Caenorhabditis elegans: one gene and its partner. Changing the gene in region 2 together with the main gene of any one other region gives a genetic interaction. Each region holds a gene or a part of one and is shown on either strand. Other genes may lie near its edges. The genes, in order: mom-5 and plp-1.

Evidence for each region.
Region 1: of plp-1 (region 2) and mom-5, changing one enhances a phenotype caused by changing the other (phenotypic enhancement), as found in Caenorhabditis elegans (one study listed by BioGRID).

What each region holds. Positions count from the first base shown.
Region 1 is NC_003279.8:9,961,165-9,972,471, reverse strand, and holds mom-5 (Protein mom-5), read right to left. Parts: upstream 6,893-11,307; 5' UTR 6,832-6,892; coding exon 6,359-6,831; intron 5,866-6,358; coding exon 5,495-5,865; intron 5,431-5,494; coding exon 5,292-5,430; intron 4,752-5,291; coding exon 4,510-4,751; intron 4,398-4,509; coding exon 4,277-4,397; intron 3,930-4,276; coding exon 3,711-3,929; intron 3,286-3,710; coding exon 3,138-3,285; 3' UTR 2,435-3,137; downstream 1-2,434. Other genes in the region: tsp-7 (Tetraspanin), read left to right, coding at 274-406, 456-533, 757-819, 1,979-2,123, 2,226-2,359; algn-10 (Dol-P-Glc:Glc(2)Man(9)GlcNAc(2)-PP-Dol alpha-1,2-glucosyltransferase), read left to right, coding at 10,501-10,558, 10,615-10,719, 10,768-10,943, 10,992-11,110, 11,154-11,307. UniProt on the Caenorhabditis elegans protein: Receptor for Wnt proteins.
Region 2 is NC_003282.8:7,629,854-7,638,071, forward strand, and holds plp-1 (Transcriptional activator plp-1), read left to right. Parts: upstream 1-3,506; 5' UTR 3,507-3,576; coding exon 3,577-3,714; intron 3,715-3,759; coding exon 3,760-3,876; intron 3,877-4,105; coding exon 4,106-4,426; intron 4,427-4,473; coding exon 4,474-4,578; 3' UTR 4,579-4,800; downstream 4,801-8,218. Other genes in the region: F45E4.6 (EGF-like domain-containing protein), read right to left, coding at 918-1,029, 1,077-1,328, 1,388-1,505, 1,705-1,976, 2,023-2,093, 2,137-2,252, 2,582-2,675; warf-1 (ADP-ribosylation factor 1-like 1), read left to right, coding at 5,060-5,207, 5,255-5,364, 5,410-5,607, 5,713-5,796; nep-16 (Peptidase M13 N-terminal domain-containing protein), read right to left, coding at 5,940-6,083, 6,127-6,565, 6,986-7,330, 7,391-7,480, 7,528-7,826, 8,024-8,137, 8,184-8,218. UniProt on the Caenorhabditis elegans protein: Probable transcription activator. Binds telomeric DNA containing repeats of the sequence, 5'-TTAGGC-3'. Binds to end-1 promoter, activating end-1 expression, which is required for endoderm specification during embryonic development.

The DNA of each region.
Region 1 (11,307 bases), on a different chromosome or scaffold from region 2:
AATCATAATATTGATAGTCTTACTATTAGCAAAACTACAGAAGAAGAACTGATTGTGAGAAAATTGTTCATAATTTTCCAAAGTAGGAAAAACGGGCACCTAAATTCCTAAAAGTGTTATCATAGACATTTCCTCGCTGCGAGACCCACTCATATAAATCCGTGAGCCTTTGAATGCGTGCTTCAGAAAACTATGAAATAACGATAATTATTCCAGAAAAATTACATCTTGGGCTACCTAAAAGTAGAAAAGAACGCCTTTGCAAATTTCCAGGTTAGCCACACCGATTCTCTTACTCGTGATCGGATCTTTGTGTACTCTTCTCGGATTTCTAGGATGTTGTGGAGCAATTCGTGAGAATTATTGTCTAACCGTCTCTTTTGCAGTTCTTCTTGCACTTCTTATCGTGAGTTCTGGACGAATTATTTCATTTTGAACGGAATAAATCATTACAGACGTGTGAAATAGCAGCAGTCATTATCGGATATGCATTGCATGATAGTTTCAGACTTGGAATTGGTAATCAGCTTCAGGTATATTTTAAAGGCTTACAGCGCCCGACAAATAATTTTATCGAAAATAATGCAAAAAGCTTATTATTGTAATTTGATAAAAATAACAACATAATCAAAACTTTAAAAAAATCTCTGAAAACTGAAGTTATCAATTAAACTAATTTAATTTTTAAGAAGCTCTGAACCAAGTTTTCCTTTTTTTAAACAAAATAAAATTTCCAGAAAAATAATATTTTTTCAGACGGGTATGGTACGATATCACGAGAGTCGAGGAGTTGAGAGTGCATGGGATAAGACACATCAGGTTAGTGAAACGTCATCACGTGGTGTCAGAGTGTCCTATTTCAGTTTGATCTACGTTGATCTACAAAAAATGCGGGAGAAGAGACGCAGAGTTCTCAGCTGATTTTGCATGGTTAAGAACGTGCTGACGTCACAATTTTTTGGGCGAAAAATTCCCGCATTTTTTGTAGGTCAAACCGTAATGGGACATCCTGACACCACGTGCGTCATGTGAATAAGCCACGTGGATTACTGATGAGATTAGTTAAATGAGTGTGACCTTCGCACTTTTTTGTTTGAAAATGCCAATTGTATCTACATAATCCCCCGTAGATTTATGATCTGAAAATAGATTATTTTAGGTGCCAAAAATCATCCTTCGAGCTTTTTACGGGATAAATGTGCTTTAGTTTTGGAATTTGGGTAGCGTCAGATCATTTAAATGTGTCACTACAAAAAAAAATCGAATCTGAAAATTTTAGAATTGTGGTTTAGGAATGTTGTTTTGACATGTTTTCTGGAAAACGTTTGAATTTTTTAATGAGAAATTTTCAGTCAAAAATTTTTTTCGGGAAGAATACGTTATTTGCTTTAAATTTAATTAAAATGTTAAAAATAGTCTATTCAGAATCTCTCAAAATTTCAAAAAAATTAAATAAACTTTTTTCAATTCAGAAAAAAATTTTAAAAAAATTCATCACATTTTAGAGCTGTTTTTTTCAAAATTCTCGTATTAGTAATTAATTTAAAAATGGGTAATTTCGAAAAAAAATACTTTTTTTAAAAATTTTCTGACTAAAATATTACTGAAACACAAAATTTTGAGAACCAACATATTTGACGCGCAAAATATCTCAGAGCGAAAACTACAGTATTTCTTTGAATGACTACTGTATCACTGGTGTCGATTTACTGGCTCAATTTAAATAAATTATCTTAAAATCGAGCCCGTAAATCGACACAAGCGCTACAGTAGCTATTTAAAGAATTACTGTAGTTTTCGCTACGAGATATTTGCGCGTCAAGTTCTCAGGTTCCCGTAATATTCAATTTTGATTCGAAAACTTATTTACTTTTTACCTGTATTTTTCATGAAGTTTTTCTTTAATTTAGCAAAACTTCCAAAAAAAAAATTAAAGTAGAACTACAGCATTTAAAATTCAAATTAATTTCAATTTTAGTTGTTTGAATGTTGTGGAGTAACAAATTCATCCGATTGGCTCACATTCACAACAATTCCTGATTCATGTTGCATTGAAGAAATCGAGGGATGTGCTCGAGAGAATGCTCCACTCTTTGAGCCCGGATGCATTCACAGTGTCGAACGTTAGTCTTTTTTTTCCAAGAAGATCAAAGTGTGCTCTGTTGCACTTTCTCAATAGAGCATGATTGGGCTTATCGGAAATTTGATTGTTTTTTTAATTGCAGAATGGGTGCTCAAGAATGGAGCAATGGTCGGCGGAATTTGTGCAGTTTTGGCAGCAATTCAATTGGTCGGAGTCTGTTTCGCTTGTTGTCTTTCAAAATCAATTCTCAAGGATTTCCATGACTTTTATTATTAGTTCATAACCATCCGTTTTTCTTTGCAATCCTTATTTTAGGTTCTTTCAATCGCCGTGTCACAAATTAAACAATAATAATAATGTATAATTTATATATGAATATACGATGAAAAAGAAATTGAGGATGAAGAAAAATAAGCAACCGCATAAATAATGAGTAATAAATTCATAACTCTAAATTCGAGACAAAGACTGGGATGAAAGTGGTTTTACCCTGATTGGAGTGCTCAAAGTGTGAAAAAAAGTGTGTGAACCTTGTGCTGGAGCTGGTGACAACAGAACTTAAGAACATGAATAAACGAGATACATGAAAAATGGCAGCGAGAGAACTGATCTACAGTAACCTGAATTGAAGGGGGTTCTTTTTTGACTTTTCTCAAGCTTCTTTCTGCCCTTTTTGTCAGATTTCAATGTAATTCCACTCAAAAATATCATTTTTCACCATCTTTTCCACTCGTTGTCTCTCTTTTGCTATGTAAGAGCGCATCTTTGGGAGCCGGTTCTTAGAAATGTGCTCGTCGCAACTCAAATCAGGAAGCATTGAGAGACAACGAGTAGACGAGGAGAGTGTAGACACAGAGATGGATCATGCTCTGGGGAATGATTCTGTGAGAGGAAGGGGACCGATGGGCGCCGTCCGATGAGCAAGAGAGAGCATAAGAATAAGTCAGAAAAGTTACAAAGAATGAAGAAAAAGAAACATTTGAGTTGGTTGGGAAAAAAGTGAGAAAAGGAATGAGAATACATATAAATAGGATAAAATGACAAGAAGAGACTATCACCTCATATTAACCTGATCAACATGAGCAGGTACAGTAGGTGACCTCGAAGAGAGTGCCAGGTAAGCCTTGTGATAACTTGAAAGAGTTTTTGAAGAGACAACCCAAATGGCACAGGTTATACCAACAACCAATTGAGACACATATCTGAAAATAAGAACATTTAGGGGTTTCGAATCAAGATAAATAATTCATATTAACTAGACGCGAAATTATGCAGTCTCGGCACGATCCAATTTTGTCGAATATGCGCCTTTAAAGAGTACTGTAACTTCGAAGTCGCGTTGCTGCGGAATTTACATCGATTTTTCATGAATAGTTTTTCTTATGTTAGGCTTTTTGTGTTTGAATTGCTTAATATTTAAATAAGAATATTTTTTATCAAGAAGCGATGAAAATTCTGCAGCAACAAGAGTTTGAAACTACAGTATTCTTTAAAGGCGTATACATTTTTGCATTTAACAAACATTCGTCTTGTCGAAACCGGATGTCGCATTTTTGGCGCAAAAATCAGAAAATCAAATTTAGATTATACAGATTGAAATTTAACTGATTCACAGTTTCAAACTAACTTTAAAAGAAAAACAATAATCTCCGGAGCTGCAACTTTCGGATCCATCGGACAATCATCAACTGGATACGTGAAACCGAATAATTCTCGATCTTGAAGTCGAACACATCGATGATGAAGCCATCCTTCAAGCCAGGCAGGCATATTTACTGCCTGATACCACATAATTGCAGCATTCATTGCAGTTGGTAGAGAGTACATTATGGCGAAGGCACCGATTCTGAAAATATAATATTTGTATGATAATATGAAACGAATATCAGAAAAGCGATTCTTAAGTTTTTCTTATTTTGTTCGGTTCTTAGGAAATCCAATTTTTTCGTTTTTTTTTTCTGAAATTTTGGAATTTTAAATAAAAAATGATTTCCAGGGAATTCTCGGGTTTTAGAATAATTTATCAACTTTCCAAACTGAAATCAATATATCTACATCAGTAAACCTAGTTTGCTCGTCTTTTTCTGTACATGTTTTTCCAATTTTTCGTTTTCCAAAAATCGAAAGTATTTCTTTTCTGATTAAAAAAGCTCAGGTACTTTTGAAGATTTTCAAAAATTTGAAATATCGAACCTCAACATTAATTTCTCCAATTTACTGATATTCCTCTCAACATCGGCGTGTTGAAGTTTAATATAACTTCGAATACGGATCATTGACCAAATTCCACAAACGAGTAAAACTGCTCCGAGTGCTGCAAATAGAACATTTCTGAGAAGAAAACGAAGATAAATAACGATGGAACACACAACGAAACGAATTCAATTTCGGTCTTCCCCCACCATAATATTCACAAAAAAACTAACCCAACGATACAACGATCGGAGTGAAAAAGAAATAGACGAGAGCAGAGGGATTCAAATTTCCAACTGAACAGATTCCAGTAAATACATCTCCATCGACAGAATTTGTCACTAGTACAGTAACCGAGAGAACTGCTGGAACTCCCCAGCACATTGCGTGGAAGTATGGTGACAGAGCAGCAATTGATTCAGCTCCCCATTTCAGATTTGCCGCCAGGAACCAGGCTAGACACAGTACAAGCCACCTGAAAGAATACTTAGTATATAAAATATCATTTTAAAAAGGCTGATAGCTGTTTAAATCAAGATTAAAAATTTGGGTGTCGATTTTCGATTTTTCAATGAAAACAAAAATTTTCGATTTTTGTTTTTTTTTTGTTTGAAGAAAAAATACATTTTTTTCATGAACAAAATTTGATAAAAATTGAATTTTTTTTTTGATTTTCCGATTTTCCGGAAACGGGGTTTTTTTCATTTAAAATTTGGTTTAAAAAAAATATTTTTTAGATTTTTGTTACTGAAAATTGTCGAAAATCATAAATGTAATTTTTTTCTGAAAAATTACACTCGAAATTATAAAAATTAAAATTTTTATCAAAATATTCAAAAAGTTCTTTAAAAAAAAAATGTTTCAGTTGTCGTTTTTTTGTTGAAAAATGTGTTTGAACAAAAGAAAAACATGCCGATTTTTTTTCGAATGCACATTTTCAAAACCAGTTTTCTATTTGTGGTACAAAAAACGGTACTTTTTTCGTTAAAATACAAAAATTAACGAAAAAACTCACCACGCACAACTTGACATGAAGAAAAAGTAATGAACAACAGCAAGAGCACTACATCCAACATTTTCTCCTCCTTGCGTAACAAGTGTTGTTGGAGTAGATCCATACGTTCCACAAGCGAATCCATCTTCACCGACTACGCCTGTAGAAATACATTTTTAGTTTCTAAAAAATCTGATTTAAAAAAAACAGAAAATTCAACTCACCTATCATATAAACCGTAGAAATTGCTAGATAACAGAACGCGAGATACAAAATCGGTCGAACTGGATACGCGAATCGTGATAAATCAACAAGAAATGTGACAAGAGTGAATAAAGAGCACACGAAACATGCCACAGACCATGCTGCTGTCCAGATTCGAAGAATTCGTCGAACACGTCCATCAAACATCATTGGTACTTGATTGTCAGCTTCACATGTTAATGAACATTCAGGAAGGCGTCCACTGAGAAGAGGCAATGAAAAATGAGATCCGCTTGTTGTATGCATATGATGAGGGCATTTTTTTGGAGAAAGGACAACTTCGTTGGCAATTGTTGAAACACCGAATGTGACGTCATTACTACTTCTGTAACTTGAAATATTTTATATTTCGATCTACGGAAACTTGTTTTATTGTTCGATAAAACAAAGAATTTAGAAATCTCGATGTACATTTTTTTCGGAAAATTTCTAAATTCAAAAACTTTGATAAAAAACTATTTGACGCTTTGGAGTAGGAGTTTTTATGGGGCTCAAAAATTCGGAATAATACTTAAATTCAGCCAAACTTGTCAGTATCACAGCGGCCGTAAATTTAATTTTCAGAGAGCTTTTTTTTTTTGAAAACTCTTACGAGGTTCGGTCTTTGCAGGCCATTCTGAATTTATTATTATTTTTCTTTAAATGCAAAACCGATGATTTTAACTGAATTTACAATTTAATTTCTCGCTGTATTTAAAAAAAGGATTCTAGAACGGTTCCCGTAAATTTAAACTTTAATTCATGTTTTGGGTACTTTTGAAATTTTTGTTGTAAATATATATCAATTATAAATTCTTATTCATAAAATTATGCAGAAAACCCACTTTTTAGAGTTGCTCGACTCGCTGGAATTCTTGCCAACACACAAATCAGTTACTGGGAATTTGTTACAATCCAATTGATCTGGCCATTGAAATCCAAACTTTTTCATTAATGACTCGCATCCATTTTTTGCAGATAAACACAATTCTCGACATGGTTGAATTGGTTTTTCGAGTACTGTACAGACAGGTGCATAGACAGTACAAAGAAAGAGACGAATATCTTCTGAGCATTTAACTTTAATTAATGGATTGAATTGCGCAATTGCTGGACCAGCTTCAGATTGTGTTGTATGTCCGAGAAGATTTGGAAATACTGTTTGATTGTAATCCAGATTTTTGCACATTGGAATTGTAATATGTTCACATTTTCGAGTTGTTGAGAATCCATTCATCGATGAAATTGAAGTTGATGAGAGTCGTTGATCAGCTGATAAGCATCCGAATAAAAATAATATCAGAATATGTCGATGCATTGTAATTGATAGTTTTGAAGAGATTTCAGATTGACAAGTGTTAGTTCATAGCAGGATTCGTCTGAAAATATAAAAAATTATTAAAGAAATAGTTTTTTTGGTTATATGTATAGAAGAAGTTCAACATTATTTAGTTAATAGTTTGTGAAATGGAGAGAACAAAATTCTAGAAAAATGATTTTTGGCAAAATTTGGAAAAAAAACCGAACTTAAGTAAATAGCTAAAATCTTTTTCAGAAAAAATCGAAAAAAAATGTTTAGAAAATTAACAAAAAGTGAAATTTTTAATGAGTTGTTGATGTGGATAAACATTTTCAAAAAATTCTTCTAAACGGAGGAAAATGGCCAACAATTTTAGATATTTTACGAAAAATCTTTTTTTTTCTCGAAATATCAGAAAACCAACACAAATACTTTCCGGCAGTTGGCAAAGATGACACATTAAAAATTTTGGCTAAATTTAGGGATTTCTCTTCGAAACATTTTCTATAAACATTTTTTGGAAGGTTTTATTGGAATTCAAAATAGAAGACTCGGTCCATAAATTGACCTTCAATTGATGAGAAAACATTGAATTTTCAAAAAAAGTGAAATGGTGTAATGTTGACATTGGTTCCAAGTGCTAAATCGAATCAATGAATCGTGAAATTATAGTGAGAAACGTGGCAAAGAAAGACAAAGAATAGTAGATTTCGGTATCTAAGTGAATCTAATCTTTAGATTACTGTACAACATGCCTCTAATCTCTTTTTTGTAATACTCTCTCGTTACGCAACTTCCGAGAGAACGGAGCACACACACACAGTAAAGAATAATTACGGCTCGGAATTCGAGAGTAATTAATGATGATGATGAGCACTGACCTAATGAAAAGATCGAAAAAGAGTGAAGAGACACAGGCCACCTGCTGCTCGAGTGTCAAATGGGCAATGAACATGCAAACGGATGAGGGAGGAAGGATTCAAGAATTTTCAAACAGTGATTCATTTCGAAAATATTCTTGTTATTGTTTGGAGAGAATTGAGGAAAATATAGATGAGAATCGAATTGAGAAAAACGGGGACGATCGATCTGTAGAAGAGATAAGAGCAATGACCTAACTGGTAGAATTTTTTGGCATTTCGGAAATTAGTTTTTAGTTTTTAAATATTTAAGTTGAAGAAAGCAAAGAAAACATTTAAAACAAATTGTCTGAAATCAACGATATTCTTAAGCAAAAGGACGCAAAATATTGCACCAAAAATACGGTACCAGGTCTCGACACGATAAAGTTTTGTTTGCGCCTTCAAGGAGTACTGTAACTCGCATTGCTGCGGATTGTTTTGATTTTATATAGGTAAATTCATGGATTTTCATTGTTTTAATCAAGTTATTTAATAAATCAATATTTTCTATCGGAAAACTATAAAAAATCGATGGAAATTCCGCAGCAAAGTTTAAAGTTACAGTACTCTGTCAAGGCGCACAGCTTTCTACATTTATCAAAAATTTGGCGCGTCGAGAGGTACCGTATTTTTTGCTAAAAATCGCAGAATCGAGCCTGAAAATTATATAAATAATTTAATTGTTTTCGAAATTCAAAAAAAGATGCCAGAAATTTAATATCGACGAACTCGAGGAGCACATAAACATATTATTTGAACTTTTGAATAAACTTTTCCAACATCCGAACTGGGAGGCCGAGTTTCGCAATGTGAAGAGCCAACATACACGTCTCGTGCCGGAGATGGGTGTCAAATTCAATTCCCGAATCAAATCAAATGAACAAATAGGCCCGTCGTTTCGATGAAAAAGAACTGACGAGAGCAACACAACTGGGAGCTTGTGACCAGAAGAAAATGGAGCAAACGAGTGATTTGTGATTGATAACGGAAATGAAAAATGGACGCGGAATTGGAAATAGTGGAAAAGAAGAAGAGGTTCAGACAAGATGGTGATAAGAAGGGGGAATGCGAAAATGTTCGCGATGGGAGCAATTTGGATGATTTCTCGTTTCAATATCAGGTAGTTTTTGATGGTTGTAAAAAAATGAAGTAAACGTAGCCAAGAAGAGATGTTCGTTGTTCCAGCTGATCCTTTAAAAACCATCGACATGAATAGCCACCAATAGATCATTGAAGGGCTCTTAAATGTGTCGCATTATGGCCAAATTGATCATAAAAAGAGAAATAGACATTGCGATGCAACAAACGTGATGATTTGATGGCGATGAACCCAGATGGTTCCCACCTGCTTATTGACCGAAAAAAAAACTAAAGAAAATGGTGAAAATGAGGATGGGCGGTCAGATGGAAAATTTTTGGTTAAATAGAAAAGATGAGCCTTTTTTTTCAAAGAAAAATCAGAACTTGTGTTCAATTCTCATTTTGATAGGCGTTATATAGCAAATCAGAATATGACAGAATGAACGAGAAAAGTTATAAAACTCTCTAGATCCTAGACCAATTGGAGGATATATTTATCAATAGATCAATCAAGTTCCACCAATCACTAAAAAAACGAACATCCCATGAAGAAGACTCATTGAGTGACATAAAACACATAAAACACCCGCGAATAGCAATAACGTATCTGTGTCTATTTCTTCAAGAGTTTTCACTCGGAGTCTCAGTGGGTGAGGCGGCGCCATAAATCAAGGTGAATGGGGTGTTTGCAACACGCACGAAAAGAAAAAGAAGAGGGAAAATAGGGGGCGGGATCGAACAACGAAGAAGAAGAAGAACAAAAAGTAATCAATGAGGGAGCGAACTGACGGCAAGGAAGAGAGCGAGGTGTTAGATGGATCGGTTTTGTGTTGTTTCGAAGAGGACTGGCCGAATGATGGAGTGCTCCGATGTCTCTTGAGCCCTTCTCAATGTGTGGGGGCCTAATTCGGAGACGATAGATGGATGGAGAAGAGAAGACGGAAAAGACTCTTCTTTCTATTTATTCATGAACAATTGCGAATTAGCACTTTTGGAGAGGGAGTGATGGAAGACGTGATGGCTCTTGTTTCATTGTATGTTCTGCCGAATTGCATTTCAATTGGGTATACAATCATCCATTCTCATTTTCTTATCGGTCCATTACATTTTTCCATTAATCATGTGCAACGGAGAGATTTTAATTCTATCAGACAAAAATAATTAAAGTTCTTTATGGAACGGGAACGATATTCGGGCCAAAATCCCAGTGTCGGAAAACTACCACAACATATCGTTTTCAAAGATAATTCTTTTGCAGATCCTAACTAACATCAAAATTTCGCTCAAACTTCCTTCTGAGACATTCTCCCCGTGACAAGTGCCAAGACTCCTTAACATTTCGTGTGCTTTAGCTCCACAATGGAGTGTCATGTCGAAAACTATCTCTTGACATGTCCCACAGGGACATCATCCTCAGAATTTAAGAACAATCGAAGAAACGAGAAAAGGAAAGAAAACGTGGAAAAGCAAAAAACATGAGTTGACCTTGAAAAGAAAAAATCGAGAGTCTCGAAAATTAAATGTTTTCGCTCTCCCGCCTGTACGCAAGTTGTCGTCAGATTAGGTGCTTGCGGATTTACGACAGATTTTTTAACTGAAAGATTTCAATGAATTTAATGCTTTAAGCTTTTATTTTCAATATATTTTTAAATCTAATAGAAAATAAATAAATAAATATACTGAAGAACAATTTATTTACTTTCAGATGACAAAATCGAAACCGCCCCGAATAAGCCTGCCATTTGCCGCAATATCCAGGAAAAGTGAATGAATATTTGCTGGAGTTAAAAATTCATTTAACCAATTTTCTCAAGTTTAGGCGATTTTCTACTTGGTGCTTCGTTTTCTTGCATTCACGTTCTGCTGACAACAATTGTCTACCACTATGTTCCAGAGCCGTATATGGATGAGATCTTCCACATTAGTGAGACACAATTGTCGAGATTCTGTCTACAATTTCCCTAATTTTCAGCTCAAACTAGATCATATTGCTCAGGAAATTACAGCTGGAATCCATTAATTACAACTCCACCGGCACTTTATGTTATTTCAATGCCATTATGTGGTGGAAATGAAAGATACGCTAACTCGATTCTTCTATTTTTCGCTATACCAGCATTTTGCCGTTTTCGGAGAATGTTCGTTAGAGTAAGAATTCCAACTTTGAAGATTTATTTGAAAAATACCGATTTGCAGCAAGATGTATGGCTGACTGCATCAATCGTCGGAATGCTTCCAATTTTGATATCGTCTTCAATTCTTTTTTATACCGATTTGTTGTCACTCACTTCAGTTATTTGGGGATTTTCGATCGGGTAAATCAATGCATCTATTGAAAATAATGATGTGATATTTCAGAAACCCAATTGCATCTGCGTTCTTATTCCTAATCTCAATACTGACACGCCAGACAAATATCATTTGGGCAGCGATATACGCGTTCTCTGTAATTGCTTCAAGAATTGACAAGTCCCGCTCAAAAATGGAAAATCTTAAGATCATAATTTCAACT
Region 2 (8,218 bases):
AATTTTAGAAAAATTAAGTTGGATATGCAATAGGATGTAGAGGAAAATTAAGTGAATGTTGGTTTCAAAAAATAATCGTTCAAAATATTCATAAGCGCATATTTCCTAATACATTTTCTTCTTTTATTGTCCATTTGTGTCCAAACTTTTCGCTGAACTGGTCACTTTACACTATTCTTGCCGCTTGACCACCACTTGAAGGTCAAATCTATAAAATAAAACATAGTTCTGAAATCTTCTTTTTCAAGTTGAACCAATTTATTTCAGATGATTTTTGTGTAACTATTCGTCATCATTCTTTCTTGTGGTCATTTTGCAGTTAGTATGCAAATCGAAATGAAATGAAAGTGAAAATGTTTACTGGCTACCAGACAGAGACCGAGAGAAAAAATGTAAGAAAAGTACGGGAATGGGGAACCTGAATTTGACGAATTCTATCCACAAATAATATAATAGAATTCTACAAAATTTCAGAAGAAACTAGAATGGATGTATTTAGTCTTGTGAAATGGAAAATCGCAGAATATTAATACATATAGATTGTTTCTTCAAAATCGCTCTAGATAATATAAGCATGTAATACTCAAATAACCACTTTCCAATAAAAAAAAACGATGTAATATTCTCAAATCCAAAGCCTAACTATAAGAATAAAATTACAGTTGATTTTTACATCGAAAGATTTATAATGAATTTGCAAACAAAGGCCGAACTTAGACGGATGCACGGCTACAGAACGTTTTTCTTATCTTCACAATATATTTGCAAATAAATAGATAATTTTTCTCCACTTCACCTCACTCAGAAAGAAAAAAGATATTTCAACACTAAGTTTTCAAAATAATTTTATTTATAAATTCACATAAACCAAACGAATTTATATTTTAATAACTTGTAGAAAATTGATGCACCGAATATTACATTCCAACAGTTGTCATGCCAGATGCCCTTTTTGTTGTACCAACTGTTTTTGAACTTTTTGAAGCTTTTGTTGTCGTTTTCGCTGTGGTAGTAGTAGTTCTAGTTGTGCTGTAAATAAACAAAGTGTGAATTGAACTAAAACAATTAGCACATACGTTTTTGGAGGGATTTCCATCGTAGTTCCAACTGTTGTAACTCCGATTTGTTCATCTTTTTCTTCGTCTTCCCCTCGTTGCAGGAAATCCGTAATTGTTTTTCTTACTCGTTCATACTTCTTATCATCCACTGCATCAGCTTCAGTATAGATACAACCTCCAAGTTTCCCGACAAATGGGTACAAATCATAGAGTGTGAAATCGATACGATCCGAGTGTCCAACAACTTGTGATATTTCCATCAATTTTTCTCTGAAAACAATTTCAAATAACAACTCAAAATTTAAAATATTTACTAAATCTAAACATACTGTTTCCTGTCATCCTGGTAAATACAAGTTATGCAAAAGAATATGATGAACAAGCCGATAACGAAGCTGGCTAGCACAAATGGAAAAAGATTAAGGTACCAATTACCCCATTTTGGACCTGGAAAAAGAAGAGGATCAAGGTTAAACTTGATCGTAGTATGTGTCAAAGACACGCCAAACTTGTGCTCAAGCTTTGCTAACTTCTAAAACAAGTTAATATTTTTGGTCAAACTCGGTCTAGAACTGTCACAAAAAATGAATCACGCGTTTACACAATTGAATTCCATTAACAACTGAAACTTTGTAAGTTAACTTACCGTCACAATGAATTCCACCGTATTGTCTGAAACAGAGACATTCCACTCTTCCCCATTCAACCATACACTTTCCATAAGCACACGGATTATGCAAGTTGTATGCTGTTGTATCCGGTGGACTACGAAAAATGCAATCTTGAATTTGAACTCGATGTCTACTGATCATTGTGATATTTCCTGGCCGTTCGATGACACACTCAAATACTGTGTTGTTGAAATTTCGGGACACGTTTTTGATTTGTAGGAGGTTATTCATATAATCATAATTTGCTCTAAAATTATATTATTTAAAAAAACATAAAACTCAGCGCTGCATACTTGTCGTCTTGATCTAATGTCTCTTCACCTTTCGAATCTGGGTATCTGATCTTCCAATACATTTTTTGGCCCTAAATTTTCAATCTTAAATCAAAAATGTTTTAAAATGCTTACTTCTCCAGAATTTATATCTTCTAGTTTTGATTTGGAATCACATGATATGGAGGTTGGCCAACCAAGTGCCCAGTATTCTTGAGTATCTCTCACAATCAACGTATTAGGTTCCAGAGCTGAATTCTTATTGATTTTATGAGTGAAAATTATAAATTTAGAAATTGTGATATCGTACATAACTTCACAAGATTTTGGCATGCCTTCTTGAAGGCGCACGGATTTATTTAGATGGGTCACAGCGCGCAAAAATTACAAAAGAATACTATCATACACTTTTGCGCGCCGAGACCAATCTGAATCAATCCGTGCGCCTTTAAGAAGTCATGCCAAAATCTTGTGGAATTACAATACAGCAATTTCAGTTTTCTGAAACGTCATTCTAAACAGTCATTCAGATTATTCACGACAAAATGTACATTCCTGGTCCACGAAATGGCAATTTTACCTATTTTCTCCGGTGAATCAATCGAAAAGCAGTTGACAAGATTTGCGTAAATAAATAATTGCAAGTGAATTGTGAATTTCCTTGTTAGCTTCATTTCAATTGCACCGATAAATAGAGAAATAAATTAAATTGATCGGATTTTTGACGATTATGCATTTTGATGAAAAAAATATGTTACACGTTTCATGTTCCCACGTTTCAGAAGGTTATTTATTTATTAAACGTATATTTTGAATAATAGTGTTCAAATTTCTGAATTTTGCCGCGTATTTGTTTCCGTGTGAAATTGCGTCTCGGTGTTTGCACACTTTCGTAAGCAATCAAATTTTCTTGTGAGTTTTTAGCTTTTTTTCCTTTCTAAATCTTGTTTTTATCGTTTTATATAATGTATTTTCAATGAAAATTGAACTTAACATAATGAAAAATACTGTTGAACCAATTTATATTTATTCCTGCCATCATGTCTTCTTGTCAAGGTCACAAGATTTGATTCTTCAGTGACTTCTTCATCCTAATTTTTGATCTCTTTCCTGCTGTCACCGGGAATGATTTCTAATTATTTTGTCAATTCTATTTTAAAAAGAGCCATTTATAACTTCCGAAAGCAGTGAAAGTGATGCATATATTTCAGTGGGTAGCGACCCACACTCTCGGTGTCCCCTCGCTCTCGCTCAATATCGATTTTGCCTTGATTTATGCGAACCAGAAGCGCTCTTATTTCTTACCAGCTGTTGTGTTCGCAAACGTGTACGAGTGGCCTTGTCCAGTGGATAATTTTATCTTGAGAATGTTTCGTCAGATGATGCAAATATGTTTTAGAATGTTAAGTAACGTTTTTTATGGCTACACTTTATCTAATATGTAATTTTCTTTTTGTTCTCAATGGAATTATTATTATTTTAATTCAAATATTTTTTATTTGCAGACCAGTTGGTTCAAGGGGTGTCTTTTGTCACCATAGTCGTTTGTTCGAAAGGAAATTGTCTGGGTAAAGGATGTCGGACGGAAGTGTTGAAAGGGGAACCAAGCGTGCCGAGGATTCTCTGGCTACTCACCAGCTCACTGTTCAATACAAGCGATACTACATCGATGTCAATGAGAACACTCGTGGACGTTACATCAAGATTGCTGAGGTTGCTTCGAAACTAACTTCCCGTACTAATATTAGCATTTTTCAGTTGGGTACAAATTACAAGAGCCGTATTATTCTAAGCATCGTCGCTGCCAAGGCAATCGTGAGTGAGATTTCGAAGATGCTTGCCCTCATTGATGAACCATCAACTGGTGAACACGCTGTAAGTTGCAATTATTTAAAGAAGTGGCGTAACAATTTATACACGCTCTAGGCAAAAATGTTCTTTCTGATTTTTTTCAATTGAAAAGCTGATGAACTTTTTAGTGAAAACAAAAGTGGATTTCTAAATTGAATATACCTGCTTCAATGCCCATAATTTTATTGATATTTAATATAAAAATTAAAAAAAAATATATTAAAAACTTTTTTAATGCAATATTAAATTTCAGCCAAAGGAAAGCTCTCTCATCAAATCAGAGACTCTCAATGTCGACGGGAGAAAATTCTACGTCGATCTGAAGGAAAATGTTCGTGGTCGCTTTTTGCGCATTGCTCAGATGCCGATGAACCCACGTCAAACTCGCCAACAAATCGCCATTCCATCCGATGGAATCGCCGAAATTCATAAGGTGCTAACCGAATATTTGGCCAAGTTCGGAGAGGGACACGAACAGGAGAACACCAACACTCCAAAAATCACTGCTGAAAACAAATCGTTCCTTTTCCATTCCGGAAAGAACGATCGTGGAGAGTTTGTTCGCATCTCGGAAGTAATAATTTTGTGTCAAATAGAAGTTTATTCTAATTTTATATTCAGATCAAACTCAACAGCGGCTATCGTAACGCAATCACCGTTCCAATGTCCGCACTCGTCGATTTCCGCAAAGAGTTGGATAACATCATCGCCAACCAAGGAAAGTAGTGATCTACAAGTTTTCTCTGCAAAAAAAACAATCGTAATTGCATAACATCTATCGAACTCGAGAGTCTCCCAAAAAATCCCTCCAAATCTTTACTGCATTTGCATGTAAAGATTTTACCTATTTTTCTAAACTGCTGTGTTCCTGTATTTTCACTCTACCTGTTTCGTTTATTTATTTATTTAAGCATCAAGTTTATTGAACTCTAATAAATTCTCGGGAAATTCGTGTCTTAATTATTCTTGCCAGGGAAAGTTACGTTTCCTTATCGAACACCTGTTGCGAAACCAGAAAAGGGCGGGTCTGACTAAGTGAACAAATATTTCGTAATAACTTTCTTCCAACAGAAATTAAAACACGCAAAAAACGGCCAACTCACTAGCTGGAACGTGGAGCCATGGAGATGGATAAAATAACTCTGATTGTCGACATAGCTTCAAGAATATCGTATTCTGCATTTTCAAAAAGTCTTTTTCGTTCAAAATGGGCTTATTCTTCTCTAAAATTTCTTCCTTCATGTTTCCAAATATCGAATGTCGTACATTGATGCTCGGTTTAGATGGAGCCGGGAAAACGACTATTCTCTATAAGCTGAAGCTTAATGAGACAGTCAATACAATTCCAACCATTGGTTTGTTCACTTTTTAAATGTGGTCATACTTGAGTATTTGTTTGAAGGATTCAACGTGGAGACTGTTACCTTCCAAAAAATCACTCTCACTGTTTGGGATGTTGGAGGTCAGAAGAAAATTCGTGCTCTCTGGAAATACTACTTTCCAAATACCACAGTAATTATCAAGAGGAATTATACAACGAAAATTGTTTAATTTCAGACATTAGTGTTTGTGGTGGACAGTTCGGATATTGAGCGGATTCCCGAGGCAAAGGAGGAATTGTTCAGTTTGCTGGCCGAGCCAGAGCTTGCGGATTCTCATTTGCTTGTCTTTGCAAACAAGCAGGATATGCCGAATGCAAGATCACCAGCCGAGCTGACTCAGCTGCTTGATTTGGGTTCACTCAAGAATAGAGAGGTATATAGTTGTATTGTTTTGTAGACCTTATAATCTATAGGATATATATACCTAAAAGGAATGCCAAAATCTTGTGACATTATGATAATACAATTGGCTTTTCAGTGGTTCATCTGTGGTACAAACGCTCACTCTGGACAAGGTCTCTACGAAGGTCTGATGTGGGTCAAGAAGCAGATGAAGACATAAGGATTGCTAAATGATTTCATTTCTTTTCATAAGAAATTGAATAAAATATTGAAAAGTGTTATTCATAACTGAATTCTTGTGGAAGTTTGAATTAAGGAAAAGATAATTAGAGTTAAATAATTAATCACAGGTTGAAAAAACAATCATAAACAAGTTCGACGGTTGTAAAGACGACTAGAATTGTTACAGTTAAAATGTATTGAAAACATTCGAGAATTTTCAGCAACTGTATTGATCATTGCTTCGTAGTCACTTCCAGGTTCTGATCCTTCTCCGCTACAGAACATCTGAAAAATTGATGGTTTAAAATGAATTACTGAAAGATGGTACCGTAGAAAAAGTGAGCATTAGAGATCTCATACTATCAGTTGAATCGAATGCTGGAAGCGTCTTCTCGTGATGAATATGATGATCATTTTGCCATTTTGCATAAGAATACAATGCACTTTTAAATGCATCTGCTAATTCAATAGTTGCTAAAAGTTCAGGTTCAATGTTTGGTGATCTCTGTCGGTTTGCATCCAGGAATCCACGGAATACGTTGTCAAGACATTCCAGTTGAGACGTTTTATCTAAGCCTTGCCAAAAAACTTTTGAAATCATTTGAAGCGTGGTTATTCCAAGACTTGAATAGATACCATACATAGGAACTTCATCACCAGGTAAATAAATTGGAGGTTCAATGAATGCAAGTGGAATCACTATTGCTCCAACATTAGAATTATAAAGCATTGTTGGATCACTTATTGGGAAAGTCGTTGTGTCGTCACTAAAAGTACTTGTATTAGGAATTTTAAGTTCGCCTCGCGAAGTTTGATATTTAGTTTGTCAGAATGAACATGTTTTTTGAAATTAAGATCTCCTGCTAGCTACAGTACCTATACGATTTAACCATACACTTAAAATAAATCAGCACACACGTAATGAACTTCTTATGTATAGCTATATGGTACTGTTTGCCTGCCTGCCTATGTAACAGCCTACAACCTATTTTCTGAATTTATCATTTCCTATTTTAAACGGAGTTGTTCAAAATTTAATTGAAACAATTTTTACAGCTCGCAGATATAACACAAGACATGCCTATTTGTGCAGGACCATTTCCGATGTTCAATTTAATTTAATTGTATACAAATTCTCAAATGTCGTTTTATGATTCGAATTTTAATGTTAATATTAAAACACTTACTTGTCCAAATATGTTCCAATCTGCGACATAGTATAATCTCTTTCAGCTTTTCCAACTCTTATCATTGAATCAAAATAGTCTGTTTCATTAAGTGACACCTGTGAAACTGGCTTCCAAATGAGTTCCTCATTTTGTAAACGTCTCGGGAATCCAACATAAAAACCAAGACGGTTTATATTTGATAAATATTGAAGAGGAGTGCTACGATGGACGGAGAGAAAATCTATCTTAAGATTTTGAAGGAATTCTTGAATTTTTGGAAGATCAATTGTTTGTGATGCTTTGTCCACATACATTTTTCTTCCAATTTCGAAAGATGAAATTTGATCGACACATTCGCGCCATCTGGAGAGAAATTTTTTGTAATTAATTTCAAATTTAATACAAACAAAAAAATGAACGAACCCATACTGATCTCTTGGAGAATATGAATATTGTTTCAGATTCCAGACAGTCACAGTTAATAAATAATTTGCAACAGCTTGGCGACTAGTTCTGAATTTGAAATAAAATCTATCTATCAATAGTTTGTATTCCCTTACTGTGCCATGATATCCGAAAGTCTTGCAAAATAATCATAATCCTGAATAGATAACATGTCAGTTTCAGTCCATCTGTATGTGTTTGAAAGTTGTGCATCTAGGAATTCTCGAAGATAGAGTTGAGGTAATGCTTGAAACATTTCTCCAATTGTCATATACGTCGTATTAGGTGTGAGACTAGCTGATTGTCTAGCAGAAATATAAAGATCAACCATCAGTCGAGCTACCTCGTCCAGTTGACTTTGAACATCTCGAGGATCACGAAGTAAACTATCTCGAGCAAACGCGCTGAGCAAATTCTGAAAAAAAAATTCTGCAAAGTTAAACATTTTGAAAAGATAATGACAGTCTGATTCACTAAAAATGAGCTAAATTTGAAGTTGTTTCTATTCCAGTCCGTCCGTCACTTCTCAATCACCTTCCACCGAGTGGATTATTTTTTCTAGATGTTGAAAATATCTTTTCGGCATGGATGAACTTTATTTTTGAAAAATACCTGTCTCAATGACAATTGCAGAAGAGGTTCAAACTCTGTAGGACTTGGCCTTGCAAGATCAATCAGATCTCTTTCGATTAGTCCAACTATTGGTGTCAAATCGGGTGGTTTTATCTTAAATCTCATTTCGTTCAAATATCAAGTTTTGAAATTTTCATACCTGTAAAATAATCTTGCTTCTATCTTGTGGATGTA